Drosophila melanogaster: one gene and its partner. The protein of the gene in region 1 purifies or fractionates together with the protein of each later gene. This does not show direct contact. Each region holds a gene or a part of one and is shown on either strand. Other genes may lie near its edges. The genes, in order: mRpS30 and mRpL23.

Region 1 (8,819 bases):
TTGTTTCCAGTGTTCAGCGGATCCACGCAGTAGCGCACGTTGCGCATGTTGGTGCCCAGGACGTTCAGTAGCGTCATCGGGGTCATCTGTCCTGGCAGCTGGAGTCCTTCGAACTCCTACCAAAAACAGATATATAGTATTAATCATAAAATATGATATTTGCGAACAGATTTTCCATCATAACTAAAAGAAAGAACTGTTTTATGCGGCTAATAAACGGATCTTACTACATGTGTAATTTTCATGTTGAGTTTTAAAAATCCATTTTTTTACAAATTTTTGAATCAGCAAAATATGTGAAAATGGCAAAAAGTTAAAATTTGCAATTTTGAAAACAGATCGATGGTGAATTTGGTTACGAATTCAACGAGGTATGACATTCCACTTTTTTTATTGCTAATGTAAAAAAACGGATAGTTTTTCCTTAAAAATATGTATAAATATGGCAAAAATACGATATTATGACATGAATACGATATAACTTGGTCAATATTACAGTTTTGCACAGCTAATTAGGTTAATTACCTACACTCTTAATTATATCTACAGGTTTATAGGGAAATTGGAAGATTTCAAATATCAAGAGATCCGAAACTACAAAAGTTCAATAGAAGGAATCCCAAGAAGATATCATGTAAACCAACCTATCTCAAACATCTTGGGATCTGGGCTACAACATCCCAATTTACTTTGCTAATATCGTATTGTAAGTCGTTATGGTAAATACCAGTACCATCTATACTTATTTTTACTTACTCGAGCTAAGCGCCCGCGTTTAAGAAAAACGGTTGGGCCGTCGCGACCTGAGTTGCGAATGTGCTGCTCCTTGATTTCGATGGTATCGTCGGAGAGATAGTAGCACAGCTCCAGCTTGCGTACGTCTCCGAACTCGGTTCTATCGTCCCAGTACGCCTGGAACTTGAGTATTTGCCTATCGTACTTGAGGAACTGGGCAAACGGATGATTCTTTGGGATTAAATTACCAGATCGCGGTTGGTTTTCACGCTTTCGTTGCTCCTCGGTGGGATCGCTATATGAGAATGGACATTATAAATGGGTAATTTCCGAGATTCAAATATCGTTTACCATGGCGATTTGACCGGATCGGGAACGGTTATGCCGCGTTTGTTTAAGAAAGTTCTTGTGAACGGATCGCAATCGGTGATATGATACTGACGATCAAATATCTGAACAGTCTGATCCACGTTCAGATCGATGAGGGACATGAACTCATTATCGCACGGCGGCGCCTTCTGGACCCGCTGCCTATGAACTACACATCCCTGCACAATTCCCGAGTTGTCCACCCGGGGCTCGTAGATCTCTAAAGTACCATCTTCCAGATAGTAGTAGATCTTAACCTTGCGCACCAGATAGGGCGCATGGTAGACCTCCTGAAGGGTTTGCTTGAAGTAGGCATGGAAGCACAGCACCTTCTTGTCATACGCCAGCCATGGAGGCATACGGGGACCCGAACGTGGCGGATATATGGAGGACGCCCCAACTGGGGGACAGCTTATGTCCACCGTAACGCTGCCCGATTCCACAGGAGCCGGTTGCTGGCGATCACTCAGCATGCTCAGACCTTGGACATTGGCCAGCGATTGCGGTTTGGGGTAATGTCCCTTGGATACCTGTTACTCGCATAGATGTATATCTAATCCCAATTGATGTTCAATCCGAAGTACTTACATCGCGAAAGAGAGTCCCCGGAAGAAGGGGCATTCCAGGAATGCGCAGCATTGTATATATTTTATGTGAATTATTGACCCGTTTTCGACCTTTTCTCTTTGGAAATATTTTGTATATTTGGTGTACGCTCTAAATGTAATACAGAGCACTATTGAAGAAAATTTAAGTCCAGATCCTGCGGAGCCTACTCTTTTTTTTATTTCTCCAGGTCCGCATACTTCCTATTTATAGATTTGGCCTCTTTTAAAAAATCCACTACGTGTACACTTATCAAACGTCTCCCACGGTTTGCATTAAACTTTACTTCTTATTGTCAATGCATAAAATAGTAATAAAATACAAGAATACTGTCAATATATCAAACAAAAGTTAATTTGTGGGTGATCAAACGGAAAACGTAAAAAAAAACGAATGCTAGCGAAAATCCATGAATGTCTGATGCTTGAAGATAACTTCTATTTTACCCAATGACAGTCATTTCGGTTTTTTTTCTTTTCTTATAAATACAATGTAAAATAATATCATAATGCAATGGTATATGCGATGGTTTACTATTCGATACGAAAAATGTATGCTTAATTGTGAGTTAGTCTCGCAGCTCTATAGCTTATGAGATTTCAAAAAATACATTTCTGGTTTTAAGTTATATTCTGGGAATTGTTTGTGGTATATGTATGTGTGTATGTATGCATGTATGTATATATATAATGGATAGCTGCTGGATATTCCTTTTATTCGGAGGGGGTGAGATCGTTTTCAGGTTCGTTTTCGTTGAGAATTTGAGAAAGCAGATCGTAGAGTGGTTCTAATATCTTTTTCGCTCCAGCATTGGTTAGATTTTTATAGTCGAACATATCGTGATGACTGATACTGCCGTCGGTCTGGACCAAACCCTTGTCAATGGCCACCGTCTGGACGCGATACAAGCCCTTGGTCAATCCATTGACCACCTCGTTGATTTTGGCATTCTTTTCGCGCAACTTATTGGGCTGCTGGCCACGCGGCAGTAGCGACTGCAAGGGAGAGATGGGAATGTCGATGATTTACTGCGGCTGGCTAATACCACAACTATTGTACTTACGGGCAAAACGATATAGGCGTTGGGCAGCTTTTGCCGGATTTTCGTTACGTTCGCGAGCACACCCTCGGCCACTTCCTCCGCGCTGTTCCGCACATTATTGGTGCCCACATGGAGGACGACGATTTTGGGATTCACATTGTCCAGCGCACCGTTTTCGATGCGCCACAGTACGTGCTCGGTGCAGTCGTCGCGAATGCTGAAGTTAAGGCAGTGCAGCGGCGCAAAGTACTTATTCCAGGCCTCCGTGTCCTGGACGGTCTCGAAGATGCAGTCGCCGAGGAATATCACATCCGGATCCTTTTCGCGGCAATCGGAGATGAACCGGCGATGTATGCTGTGCCAACGCTTGTCGCCATCCAGATCGGGCAATGGGGTGGGCAGCACACAGGGATTCATTTCGTCGGCGTGCTCAGACTCAGTTGCAGACCAATATTGAGTTTTAGTTAAAGATTCCGATTCCTATTCCTATTTCGATTTCGATTCAGTTGCAGTTTCAGCATGCGGATGAATGAGGCATCGTCTGCGGCTTAGTCTTACCGGATACTTGGGCGTTCTGCTCGGCTTGCAGTGACAGCGTTGCAGTCGTGGACAAACAATTGAACTGATAGTCGCTAGCATAAACAACTCCGTACCGTTGTTTACTTTAATAAATCGTTTTTATGGCGAAGATTTTTTTTTTGTTTTTTTTTTTTTGTGTTTTAGGTTACCTCAACATTAACATCCGTAAATGTCGTAGAATTATGTGGCCACCCTCGTGTACATGGAAATTGCCAAGGATTTAAGGTTGAAAATTTTTATAAGTTTATTTTAATTTGGTGTAGAAAATCTACGATTTTCTTGGTAAGCGTTTATGTTTTCGTTTTTAGAGAGATGGTAGATGTCTTGGTATTTTTCCAGGGCTGGAAAGTGTTGTCTAGCAATGTTGCACTTGGCACAGCTGAAAAAGATGTGGGATACGTTATCGAAAACGTTACACGGTCACATATGTTACTGTTTGTAACGTGCATTTTATTCAAAATTGTCAAAAGCGTTATCGCAGAGAAGTCTGTTAATTATTTTGATCTCTGTTGATTTAAGTTTACAATTGTGATTTTTAAGGCATGTGCCTTTAAGCCATATGCCATTATTTCAAGGGGAAAATATACCAAATGAAACAAGACTATTTTTTAGCTTTTTCTAGACAGCTTAAAAAATATTACGATGATTTATAACTGATTTCAGAAATAAAAAGATTTGAAACATAAGCAAGTTAAATTTTGTACCCCTACACGTTAAATAGTAAAGGACTATGATTCATTATGAATTATTATTGAACTGCATAAATAGAAATTATACCATTACTTTCACTGGCATCGCAAAACTTTCCGTCGCTACCTTGGCGCAACCTATTCTGAATCCAGCGTGCGGTCACACTGCAGCAATGACATAACCTAGTTATTGTCAAAAAACTGAAGTCAATTCTATTCCTTCGAAAACATAAATCGTAACTTGCGTTAGGTTCGACGGCATGTTGAAGCTTAACCGTGTTCGCCATCTGCGAACGACGTACAAGCGCTGTTTGTCCGGCCAGTCGCAGCTGCAGCTGAATAGTACGGACGCAGAGCCGGCATATCCGGAGATTCAGGATCTGTCCTTCAAGGCGCGCAAGCAGAAGGATGCGGCCAACTGGCACGAGGAAATCCGGCAGGTGCCGACGGTGGAGGAGAAGATGATCAAGATCAATATGCCCCGCTATTACGGCTTCAAGGTGGTCGACTTCAACGACTCGAAAATCCCCTACAATGCACTGCCGCTCACGCAACATTATACGCGCACAGTGCTCGAGGATTTGCCATCTGAAACGGATAAGAAGGCACAGGCTAAGGACTCCGAGCAGGAGCAGGAGCAGCCGAGCGTGGATGGTCTTTTCAAGGCGGCTCGCGGGGATGTTATTGATGCCCTCGAGTTTGCCCACGACTACTACAAGTGGGTACAACGAGGTCCGCTTTCAACGAACCAAGTTCTCCGGCGAGTTTGTGGACAGTAGTTGGTCCAACTCACTTAAGAACTCGGATTGGTTGGAGTGGTCCCAGTTACAAGTTCGACCGTCTGATATTAATGTATTCATTCTCCTCCATTACCAAGCGTAGGCATCTGGAAAAGCAACACAACTCTGCCGAATCGAACCCCGTTGAACGTGAGCGCATCCTAACGCAGATCATTGTAGAACAGCTGAACAGAGCTCTGCTGCAGTCGCTCAGCGAGGAGTACAAGCACCTGGATGAGCTCGATGTCGACTACAATCCACGCCACGAAGCGTTCTGGGCCGTTGGCGGCGTAGATCCTCCCAAGAACGTGCAGAAATCGAAGAAGGGCCGGGAATGGCAAAAGGATATGGCAAACGAGAGCGTTGATCGGATGGTTCAGTATACGGGAGCGCCGTATCTTGCCCTACGCCATCGCAAGCAATTGACGCCGTGGAAAACGGAAGCGGAAAGCGAAAACCTCGAGCTGAGCAAACAGCTGCCCCGTTTCAAGCACGACCCGCGAACCCTCGGCTACAGCACCAAGCATCAGCACGCCACCAATGTGCCAGGCTATTGGCCCAAAGGAAATGAGAATAACTTCGGCCTGCTCTCATTTCAATCGCGTGCACACCTGCAGATCCGTCCGAAATCGTTCGGCGAGCAGGATCAGCTGGAGGCATTGCATTCGCTGGCGATTAAATCGTCATACGCCTGGCTTTTGGCCCAGGCGAACTACAATGGCTTCAACACCTACAACGAACTGACCTATCCCATGAACACTCAAACTGTGATCACGAACGGCAGGGAATGGAGCTTTTATGAGTATCAGCTTAATACGCTGCTGCTGCACGGCACAAACGTGGCGGAAAATCCCCGTGTCAACTTCTGTCGCGGTACAAAGCCACTTCCACTGTACGCCGAGATTTCGGCAAGCGGCAAGTGCGTTGATTTCAACGATAACGCACTGCGGCACCTGCTCAATTTCTATGCCAATGCGCCATCGATTCAGCGGAGCATTGGGGAGCAGCAGCCGTATGTTGCCTCCGACGTTTCCGCCTATGAGAACGCCGAACAGCGTGACTTTATCAATAAGACCTTCAAATATTTGGCATCAAACCGACCGCGACACTTGGAGCTGCCCGAAATCTACCTGTGGGAGAAGCTATACAAGATCGATAACAACAATCGTGCCATGGAGGCTAAGAGACGCTTCTTCGAGCTGGACATCAATCCTTGGCAGCGAACGCTGGACACACATGACAAGGAGTATGTTCCACGTGCGGTCCGACCAGACGTCCCTAAGAATAAGAACAGGTTCAAGAAGACGTACTACCCTTAAATGAATAAATATAAAACACTTCCTAAGGTTACACTTGTTAAAAATGCTGAATTTTTAATGTGAAATACTGGATTGCAGATTCGGAGCAACGAAACGGTGTACAAAGTTTCTTTAAACTTTGATTAACTCAATTTTCCGCAAACTTTTGTCAGTATGTTAATGATTTTTAATATAAATATTTTGTTAAATTTCAATTTAAATTCTATGCCATACAAAGTATATATATTTATTAACTTTGTTATGCTTGTGGTTAAACACTTCTGTAAATTTATAAGCTAGTCTTTTTTATCTTAAATTCTTTCAAATAGATATGATTATACAAATACCTGGAATTTTGCCAATTATTAGTGCTGATGATGCTAAAACTTGCCAATGCAATGCTTCTTATCATTATTTAATTGTTTATGCAGCACATATTTATTCTAGATTCCATTGTTTATTTCATTTATCAGCACTGCAAACATACCGAAGTTATCTCAAAAAGTGGGTAAAATGCGGTTACACTGCACCAGAACCATATTTTTCGAACGTAAAAAAGGTTTATAATGCTATAGTGTAGTTTAAATCTTTTTACCAAATCATATATTGTTTGAACATAATAGTGCACTAAGGTTTATATGATATTCCATATAAGTACACTTCAAACTCTTACTTAGTCTGGTAATATGTATGCATTAATTAATTACTTGATTATTTTATTATCCCATTTATTATAGTAGTTTTACATTTACGATAATAGCTTTATAGTCCACTACATCAAAGTTAGGATTGCTGAAAAAGTTACCACTTGTTGGTTATTTCGGTAACGTCCCAGCTAACCGTATGGTATGTTATAACGGCCGTGCGACGGTCACACTGGATCTGAATAGTTAGGCTCGAGTAAATAACCAGTTTGAGACTTTACGGTGGTTCGGAAACTCGTATCTGGCGCTTCGGTTGTCCAAAAAGGTAGAGCAGTAACCTGTTGCATATATATTTCTTTTTTTTTTGGTAATAGTGGAAAGTGTAGTGCAGACAAGTCGAACCCAACTGATATTGAGTCGAAATTCCGTTGGGCAAGTGCTGAAAAATCTTGAATATTGATCGTGGAGTATGTGGATACGGTGAGCATTTGTGGGCAAACAAGTGTATTTCTCGGTTATTTGCTTCTTTTTTTGTCGAGTCCATCGAGCTTATAAAGTTGTAAGGCGTGTAAATATGTGTATAATAATTATGCCATAACATACCAGTAGTACAAAAGTATGCTACTGATGATGTGGAACAAGCACGGATTATCATAAATATATGCCATGGACTCTCTGGAATGCCAGTGTAAAATAGTGAAACCAGTGGCCAACCACATATTTGTCTACATCTATATCTATGTCTATGTGTATATATATATATATATATCCATATCTATGTCTATTCCTCCCCCTCCGATCGCGAGCAATCCGATAAAACACTGTATTTATGCTTTGCATTCTGCGATCTCATGAATACGTGAAATCAACATCGAAATCTCCAGCCAACCGACGTGCTTGCATGTGTGTATAGTTTAGTTGAAACAAAAAGAGAATTAACGACAAAACAACCGAATGGCAGTTAATTCCTATTGTTTTCGAGCGGCCTGTCCCAGAAATACAGTTCGATCACAAGCGTCATATCTCGGTGTCCCAGAATTCCAGTTCTTGGCACACACTTTTTATAGATATGAACTGACTTTTATGATCTTGACATGTTTAAGTCTTCGTTTATGCTCAAACCCTTTAATATTCGGACACTTTGTAAGTCTCTAATGTTCTATTAAATAATGCCATTGCAATCCAATGTGTTTATTCACGATATCTCAAGTTGAGTTTGCCCTGGAGCAGTGCCATGACGGTTATAATATGTTGATGTTTGGCGCTGCTTAAATGGCTCGCTCGAATCGAAAACCGTTAAGGCGATTGATGAGTTTGACCTCCTAAAGCTAAAAAAGAAGAAGAAATGCGGTTCTATCTTTAGCTACTCATGTTGTGCATACATACGAAAAACGAGCAGCTCGTGTTATAATAGTTAGTTACACCATTCATAACGCGACAACAAGTGCTGCATGGATTTTCATGATCTTGGTCTTGTCTTGAAGGTCGGAAGTCTATTATAGAACTCTCTATATGCGGTGTGGTGAATAGTTCGGTGGGGGGGGGGGGAGGTTGTATTGTTATTATTTCATCATTTACCCACAAATTGAAAAGTAATCCAGTGTTTATTGGCAGTCCTTTTGGATCATAATCATTTCGGATTTCGGATCTTTGAACCATGGATGAAAAGGAACACGAATTGTCGACGAGGGTGGTGAAAAACGAGGAGAACGAGGATGACGAGAAGCTCAATGAGTTATCCTTTTGTTTTGTTCGGGTAAGTGTAGAATAGCAATCTTATTTATTTATGTTTTTGCGCACTTAGCGATTCGAAAAATGTCAAGTGGTATTATTCATGTATATTGTAAAAGTATTATTATTTTCCATTGCAATTGTTATCACCTAAAACGCCATAAATGATTGTATCACCCAAAAGCTTTGTTATGGAATATTTGATTTTGAACACTGAGTCATAACTTTAAGGGATCGCTATCATGGCTAATGACGTTCAGGAATCCGCCAAATATCTCCACAATATAGATTTAAATTCGTATCTATATATATATATATTTATATATATATATATATATTTAGATACA
Region 2 (8,580 bases), on another chromosome or scaffold:
AATTTTTAATTTCAACTATAACTTCTTCATGGATTCAGTTCTGCCCACCTAAAGATATTTTTTGTTCGACAAGCATTCATTAACAATTAATTTCTTTTGGAATGTATATTTGAAAACATGATAATCCGCCCTCGCAAATCAAAGTTAATGCGGTAAAACGTGTAATTGCTTAACTTATAACGGTAAGTTTTGATGGCGACTTACACCCACACTTGTACGTACCTTGAAAAATGCAGCCGGAACGCAGGACCTTGCGACCACTCCACCAAGCAAACAACAGCTGTTGCAGGACACCCGCCTTTGCTTTCATCAATATGTCGCCTTTCCTTGCTTTTAAATTTACATTTGGATATTTCCTCGTCGTTTTAAAACCGATAAACAGGAATTTTCATATTTATTTGCCGGTGACACACACATACGCGCACGCACTGCCGAAAACACAAACACACGCGCAAGTAAACAGTTGCATTTTGCCGGCTGGATTTGTTGTTGCCGCCGCGGATTGAAAATGGTATATGTACAAATTCGCAATAGACTTACCTGTAATATGGCTAATACCGCTCTATACCTTAATCAAAGCTTAGTTAACTACTTAATCACTCTTACATTAATTAATCACAACTATCACACCGGTTTTATTTACGCGCCTTTAGGACGACACGTATTTCGTTGATTTTGGCGCGATTTCGTTTAAAAAGAGACGGTGGGATGGCATAGGCGCTGCCCATACACACGCGAAATGCACTTTTTATGATTTATAGCTTGCTTATTTTGTTTTGATTATTTATTGTTAAACGAAAGCTAAGATTTGGCATTTGTTTGGCGCCGTTGCCAGATTGATTGTGGTTAGTCATATGGTGAGTCTGGTGCCAGACTGCGAAAGCAGCCCACTTTTCAGTGTTGGCTAACAGCGGTATTCAGGCCCAGCTTGGCAACGCCAGACAGAAACACATTTTGTTTGTAACTAAAGAAGTTTTTTAAATTTTCTTTTGAATAACCTTGGTGTACAAAGTTAATTTTTAAACGACACGCTTCTAAAATGGCCCGCACTGAACTGGAGAAAAAGGTCAAGCGCCAGGGCAAAAAACGCAAGCACGAGGTGACTAAGAACCCTGAGCATGCGGCCAGCGACGACGAGGTGGCCAACAAAAGTCTAATTCTAGCTCCACAGGTAGATCAACAGGAGGTTCCAACAGGTGTGTTTCAGCTCAAATCTATATCGGCTTTGTGTAACATGTCCAACATTTACAGATAAACCCGCCAAGAGGCGGCATAAAGAATCAGAAGTATCGGCCACTAAGAAACAAAGCAGGAAAAACCAAGCGGAGGAGCAGGTGGCCACCAGTGGAAGCGATGAAAGTCTTCCTCAGAAGCCTCAGAAGAGAAAACAAGTCCAGGATGCCAACGAAACCAAAAAGCTGAAACGCAGCAAAACGCAGGAAAATAACTCGGATGAAGACGACGATGTGGACTCCCAGCCCACAGCAGCGCAACTAAAAGAAGCAGCTCGTCCGGAGAACGCTTATGCAGTGGTTACAGTGCGCCAAAAGAAGAAACAGAAGCACCAGCAGCGCCTCGAGGCCCAAAAGAGTCAGAGCTCCAACAAAGATGCCAAAGTCAACAAGGAATATCTTCTAAAATGGAAGGAATCCCGCCAGGATTGGAAGTTCAACAAACTGCGACAGATTTCCATACAACAAACCGCCTTTGATGTGGAGAAACTGGATGACGAGCTGTGGCCAACTGCTCTGGAGTATTTGGCCAGTTCCCAGGGAGCAGCGCGCTCAAAGATCAGTCAGTTGGCCGAGGAGGTGATCCAGAAACTGGACAAGGAGGGCGAAAAGCTGGAGGACGAGGCGGAAAGGCGAAAGCTAATCGAGTCCACGCAGTACCGGCGGGCACGCGATCTCCTCCAAAGCTTCGACTAGTTTATTATGTTAGTTGTTAATTTTTGCCTTAGGAATAAATTACACATGCCTTCCTATTTTACAAAAACTTGTCCTTTATTTGTTTTATAGCATCCTCATTATGAATATTTTACAAATTTACAACTTATAACTACAGGTCCACATAGGCTAAAAGTTTGTCTATGTGATCAACGCGCTGCTGCAGAAGCTGTCGATCCTCGTCCTTCAGCTTAAGTTTGTCCAGCTGTTCCTCTTGCAAAAGAAAATGCTGCAGGAAGAGCCTTACGCTTTGCTTAAACTGCTGCAGTTTGGTGTTTTTGGCAACTCTTTCGAACGTCTGATAAATCTCGCGTTCATCGTTAGCCAAAAGCAGCCTGACCATCACTTCCTTCATAAAGTAAAAGCTGAGCTTGTCCAGCTGCATAAAGTCGACTACTTTGAGCACTGACAGCTGCAGACCAGCAGCTAGGATTACTTGCTGCAGAAAACTAGCCAGGTTGCGAATCTGCGGCTTGGAAAGCTTTTCGATATCATTGATTCTGTCCCAACTGGCAAACTGGAAAGCCAGTTGATACTTTCTGTTGAATTGACAGAACTTAAGTGCCAAATGAGCGTAATAGGGGTTAGCACGCTTCTCATTCAGAGCGCAATGGATGATCACGTAGGCCACCGCTCGCTGGTCCTTCAGAGACAAATGCAGAATCTTCTCAAAGGCGTCCACATAATCGGCGGCGCTCATGATGATGCAGAAGATATTCCTCCTTTCGGCTGTGTTCATCTGCTGCTTTCTGGCCAGCTCCAGTAGCTGATCCGCAAAACCTCCGTTGGCAGACTTCGATGAGTTCTTATCCTGCTTTTGCTTGGCGGATCCCATCTCATCCAGATTTCCCGTCCAGGCAGAGCCCACAATCCACCATTTGCCCACTTTATCAGCACGCAGGAGGTCCTCCAGGGTTATGTTCAGAGTCACCACGTAGCGATCATTCTTCAGCATGGCCTTCAAACGCTTTCGCAGATTCTCCGCCAACTCGGGATCATACTGCGGCAGCTTTTGCATATTGTTGTTTTTGACTGCATTTAGAATATCGACCATGAAACGCAGGCGTGGATTCTCTTTCAGTTCCAGTGGGGCACTAGCAATTTGCGATTGAACTTTTTGCATCATGGTCTTAAAGGCCAGTGGATCGTCCTTGCGCAGCCGGAAGCCAATGGACTGGAAGATCAGCAAAAGGCACTCCACGCTCTTCTCGCAAAGCTGATCTGACAATTTGCCTATGAGCTCCATCAGCAAATTCAGCTCGTAGATCTTGAAGAGGTACATGTAGCAGAGCACCAGTACTAGGTTATTCAGCTGCTTATCCTCCACCTCCAGGGTAGCGATGTTCTTGACATAACCATCGAATAACTCCACAAAAGTCTGCAGGAAATGCGCTCCAATCTCGCTGCCAACCTGGGCATGTAGGTAGGCCAGCAGCACCATGTGTTCCTGTACCATTCGCTCGTTGGTTCGCGTGTAGCCGAGAAGGGCTTCTTGAATTAACTTGGTTAGTGTTTCGTTCATGTTGTAGCGGGAGTTTTTCATGTACAGCTCCTCGATGCCGGCGGCAATCTTGTGCAGATTCGCTTCTGACAAACGATTGAGCAGACCCTTGCATTGCTTTAGAAGGCGAGCTAGTATCTCTGCCTGTTTTTCACTTGATCCCGCGCTGGCTGCCATCAAAGCTCGCTGATGTGGCGGTATGTACTTTTGACCGGCGGCTGAGGCCTCGAGCTCCACGGGATCAGGCAGGATGTTTCCCTCGGCGTCGCGTTTGCGTCCGTAGATGTCCTCTTTAACTGTAATTAATTCGTTAATTAAATGAAAAACTCTAAACGATGAATGTACTCACTCTTAGGTGCATTCTCTTCCTGCTCCGAATCCTCCTCGCTTTGTTCTTCCTCTCCAGTTAGGTCTTCATCATCATCTTCACCCTCAGAGCCACTGTCATCTTCTGAGAAGTTATCCATGGGCTCATCCCTGTCCTCCTTATCCTCTTCCTCATCGCTCCACATTCCCGCCTCCTCCTTTTCTTGCTGCTCCTTCAGCTTTTTCTTACGTTCCTGCTTCTCCTCCCACTTCCGCTTCTCCTCCTCGTCATCCAGGACAAAGTCAAGCAGGTAGTCCAGGCCATCATTGAACATCTTCCGCACCAAGCGGTTTTTGTCCTTGGATTTGTTGAGCTTCAGCTTCTTTTCCAGCTTGTTGATCTCGCGATCATCCTCCTCGTTCTCTATGCGAAGTTGCTTGATTCGCTGCTTCTTGGACTTGCTCTCCAGTTCCTTTTGCTGGCGCAGTTCCTTCCGCCTGACCGCCTCTTCATCCTGTCTTTGGATGGCGCCTCCTGTCGTTTTCTTGACCTTTTTTCCCAGAGGTTCATAGACTTCCATCTTTTCCCTTGCGGGCAGCAGAGCATCCACCTCCGCATCGCTGAAATCCGAATCTATGGACTCGTCATCGTCGCTGTCTATTTCACCGGACAAAAGTTGCTCCTTGGGTATTTCATCTGGATTTATTATTTTGGGCTTCTTGCTCCGTTTCTTCTTCTTGTTTTTGCCCAGCTGCGACTGCGCTGCCAACGCCTCTGCCGCCGCCGCCACGCGCTGTGTTCCGTTAGTTTTGCCGGCGAAATAAAGTCGTTTATTCTGTTTTTTGAACTCCGACTTCTGTTTTCTCTGCTCCTTGCGAGTCAAAGGTTTAGCTTTCGCCTCCTTTTTCTTTATTTTTGCCATTTTAAACGGCCTTTACCAGAGATTTCAGCCGGACCGAATTTAAAAATTGTTGTGGTTGACAATCAGCTGTTTAAAACAAGTGTTGGACAACCCACGTGCTTTTACACGGGTGTAGGTAACAGTTCTTTGAGAGGAATCTAGATTTAGTGATATTATTTTTTAAAAGTGGTAAAAGTGTGGAATATTTTATAGTTACAGCGTAATAACTTAAATTAATATATACGTTAAGTTTTAGTTAACAATCTTATGCGACCCCCTTGCTACGCCTGTGTCCGCCCGAAACCTTTGGCCTTTTTTAGTGCATTTCATAAACGCACAACAATTAATTTAATTTTTGTATTCTTGAATTAGAATCTTAGATCCTGGCTAGATCATGTCCACGAGGTGGTATCCCATCTATCAGCGCGGCAATCCGCAGCTTCGCGTTTTCCTTCCCAACTTCTGGATGAAGCTAATCCGACCCACGGAGGAACAGCCACCCAATGTGGTCACTTTTTCGGTGTCCATGGAAATGACCAAGTACGATGTGCGTAACTATCTGGAGAAGATCTACAAGCTGCCGGTGGTGGATGTGCGTACTCGGATTGCCATGGGCGAGACCAAGAAGGATCAGACCTACGGCTACATCACCAAAAAAGACGACGTGAAGCTGGCTTATGTAACATTGGTATGGCCCACTACAAGCCCCTGATTCAATGGATATTTCCAATGATATTTGTGTATTCCAGCCCAGGGAGGAGTCCTTTGTCTTCCCCGACTTCTTTTCCGAAAAGGCTGAGAAGCAGGCCAAGGAGGAAAAGTCGCTGGATGAATCGAAAGCCGGTTTCCGCAGATTTCTGGACAGGAACAAGAAGCGACCCGGCACGCCGGGCTGGTTTTCCATTTAGTTTTTAGTGTGTAATCGTAGTACTTTTCGTTTCAACGGGTAAATAAACATTTATTTCGAAAGTCCGAATTAACCTAAAGCTCAGCTTTATTTGCGAGGAGGTCAACCTCCACTTTTTTTTTGGGATTTCTCAATTATTACTTGGCCTGTTTGACGGCGGCGGCAACCCAGGCCCGGATTTTGTCCTCGTCCTGGAGTCCCACCATGCGCTGCACCTCCTTGCCGTTCTGCAGCACCACTAGCACGGGCACGGCGGCCACATCGTAGTCCAGAGCCAGTTCGCTGTGCTCATCTATGTCCACCTTGGCCAGCTTGATGGAACCGGCCTGTTCGCCCACAATACTCTCGATGCGCGGGGTTAGCAGCTTGCAGGGATTGCACCAGCTGGTGGATTACAATATAAACATTAATTTGCCATGTCCTCAAATTGAAAATATAAAAATTACGTTGCGAAGAAGTCCACAATCACGGGCTGCTGGCTGTTCTTTACTTTCTTGTCAAAGTCCTCGGCGCTCTGGACTTTGAAGATCTCCTGTCGCGGCGCAGAAACTGACAGCATGCGAATTTGCTGGCCGCTAGCCAGGCGACGCGTCGTCTGTCCCAGAATGTTAATAATCTGTCGCTGCATGGCTTATTTTCTACAATTTCTCAGTGCAAAAAGTTCAGCGATTGATTGCAAAATAATGACAAGAGAATCAGAACAACAACAATGAGTGTGGTGGGGTTGCCAGATGGATTGGTATTGCCTAATGATGTGTGCACACACTGTTTCATTAACTGTTACTTCCCGGTCATGATAATTTTGTTTTATATTATTTAAGTTAAAAACTTATATTTATTAACCATAACTATGTAATCTTTTTTAATTTTCAATTTATGATTAAAAAATGAATAACGATATTTCGTTCTCTCAATCTATCGAACTAGTTGGCATCTCCGTTGAGAAAATAATCAGCAATTTCATGGTGTGCACACATTGGCTCTCCTTTTTTTGAGAAGTAGTCTTGTTTTGTTTTGTCGTAATAATATCCCAACTTTTCGGTTAAAATTCAAGTGTTACAATCGCATTACGGTCCGTAATCATCGAAAGGTTAATTGGCGCACATAAAAGGCGGGTATAATCGTCTTAAAACCCCCGTACCCTCGGGTCAATTACGGAAATTGTCCAGCGAATTTCGCAAATGACCAGTGGAACTTTAGTAATTCAGTCAAACTGAAGACCCAGGATCCGGGAAAAAGTTATCAGTATGGACGACCTGTCGCAGGGCGACATTTGCCGCGTGTGCAGATGCGAGGCACAGCCGGATAGGCCTCTTTTCTACCCGTGCATCTGCACTGGATCGATCAAGTACATTCATCAGGACTGCCTGATGTTATGGATGCGCTACTCGCACAAGGAATACTGCGAGCTGTGCAGCTACAGCTTCAGCTTTCAGCCCATCTATGCTCCGGATATGCCGCGAGTCCTGCCGATAAAGGATGTCCTTGTGGGACTGATGTCCGCCGTTTTGGAGGGCGCTCGCTGCTGGCTTCATTACACCCTGGTCGGTTTGGCCTGGTTCGGAGTGGTGCCGCTGTCTGCCTACAGGACCTATCGGTACCTCTTCCGGGCGAGCTCCTTCGATATGATTCTCACGCTGCCCTTTGACATCTTCTCCGTTGAAAACCTGGCATCGGATGCCTTTCGGGGCTGTTTTGTGGTCACATGCACACTTTTGTCCTTCATAGGATTGGTCTGGCTGCGCGAGCAGATCCTGCATGGCGGCGGACCCGATTGGCTGGAGCGGGACGATGCCCCTCTACAGGCAGCGGCTGCTAATCCTGCGCCTGATCCCGCCGCCGAGGCAGCTCCACAGCCTCAGGACGACAACAACAATGCCGACGACAATGAAGCGCCGGCTCCAGCGGACAACGATGGGCAGGATGCCCAGGCCCAGGATGCCGCACCAGCGGCTGCAGCTCCCGTCGTGGACGCCGATGCCGATGAGCAGAATTGGAATCCCATGGAGTGGGATCGGGCTGCCGAGGAGCTTACCTGGGAACGCCTGCTCGGACTCGATGGCTCGCTAGTTTTTCTGGAGCACGTCTTCTGGATCATCTCACTGAACACCATGTTCATCTTCACCTTCGCCTTTTGTCCCTACTGCGTGGGCAACTTCATTCTGAGCTCCATGGATCTTTTGCAGCCCGAGAAACCACTGCTACACTTTCACGGCCTGATTACCACGCTATTTGGTTACTGCTGCATTGGATTGACCCTGGTGGTGCTGCACTTCTTCTCCAGAGTTTTCCGCCTGCGGAGAGTCTGCTGGTTCATTGGATTGTGCTATATTGTGGTCAAGGTGTCGCTGCTGTCGGTGTTGGAGATCGGAGTACTCCCGCTGATTTGCGGCTGGTGGCTGGACATTTGTTCGTTGCCCCTACTAGATGCCAGCCTCAAGGATCGTAAAGAGAGTTTTAAGGCTGCTCCGGGCACCTCACTTTTTGTCCACTGGATGTTTGGCATGGTATACGTTTACTACTTCGCTGCGTTTGTATCGTTGTTGCGCGAGGTGCTGCGACCGGGAGTGCTCTGGATATTCCGCAATGTCAACGATCCTGACTTCAGTCCCATCCAGGAAATGATCCATGTACCAATTGTGAGACACATCCGGCGGCTGGTCGCTTCGGCTATGATCTTTGGATTTGCAGTGCTCTTGATGCTCTGGCTGCCCATTAGAATTCTGCAGGTGGTTTGTCCGGACTTCTTGCCATATGCACTTAGTGGCGATTCAGCGGTTAACTTGCAATTGCTGCTCTTACAAGTAAGTTACCCGCAAACTTATTTGAATAACTTAAACAATCTAAACTCGCCATTCCAGATCGTTTTGCCGGGCTTCTTCGAGCAGACCCAAACACGCATCTGGCTAAAGGGCTTGCTGCGCATTTGGTGCACAGCGGTGGCCTGGTTGCTGGGCATACGAAGCTACCTGCTCCCAGCACCGGAGCCGGAACCGGAAATTCCCGCTGCTGGAGAAG

What was found.
Region 2: the proteins of mRpS30 (region 1) and mRpL23 purify together in Drosophila melanogaster (affinity purification with mass spectrometry, with the first as the bait; one large-scale study listed by BioGRID). This does not show direct contact.

What each region holds. Positions count from the first base shown.
Region 1 is NC_004354.4:15,781,892-15,790,710, forward strand, and holds mRpS30 (mitochondrial ribosomal protein S30), read left to right. Parts: upstream 1-4,155; 5' UTR 4,156-4,280; coding exon 4,281-4,738; intron 4,739-4,902; coding exon 4,903-6,118; 3' UTR 6,119-6,397; downstream 6,398-8,819. Other genes in the region: Efhc1.1 (EF-hand domain containing 1.1), read right to left, coding at 1-116, 757-1,030, 1,087-1,634, 1,693-1,743; Paf-AHalpha (Platelet-activating factor acetylhydrolase alpha), read right to left, coding at 2,424-2,705, 2,774-3,169; Rhp (rhophilin), read left to right, coding at 8,399-8,497.
Region 2 is NT_037436.4:2,369,892-2,378,471, reverse strand, and holds mRpL23 (mitochondrial ribosomal protein L23), read left to right. Parts: upstream 1-4,767; 5' UTR 4,768-4,787; intron 4,788-4,793; exon of another isoform or gene 4,794-4,875; intron 4,876-4,970; exon of another isoform or gene 4,971-5,027; 5' UTR 5,028-5,049; coding exon 5,050-5,343; intron 5,344-5,404; coding exon 5,405-5,563; 3' UTR 5,564-5,628; downstream 5,629-8,580. Other genes in the region: CG15877 (uncharacterized protein), read left to right, coding at 1,040-1,196, 1,252-1,928; CG9004 (uncharacterized protein), read right to left, coding at 2,059-3,743, 3,797-4,676; CG8993 (uncharacterized protein), read right to left, coding at 5,700-5,946, 6,009-6,190; CG1317 (uncharacterized protein), read left to right, coding at 6,810-8,366, 8,424-8,580.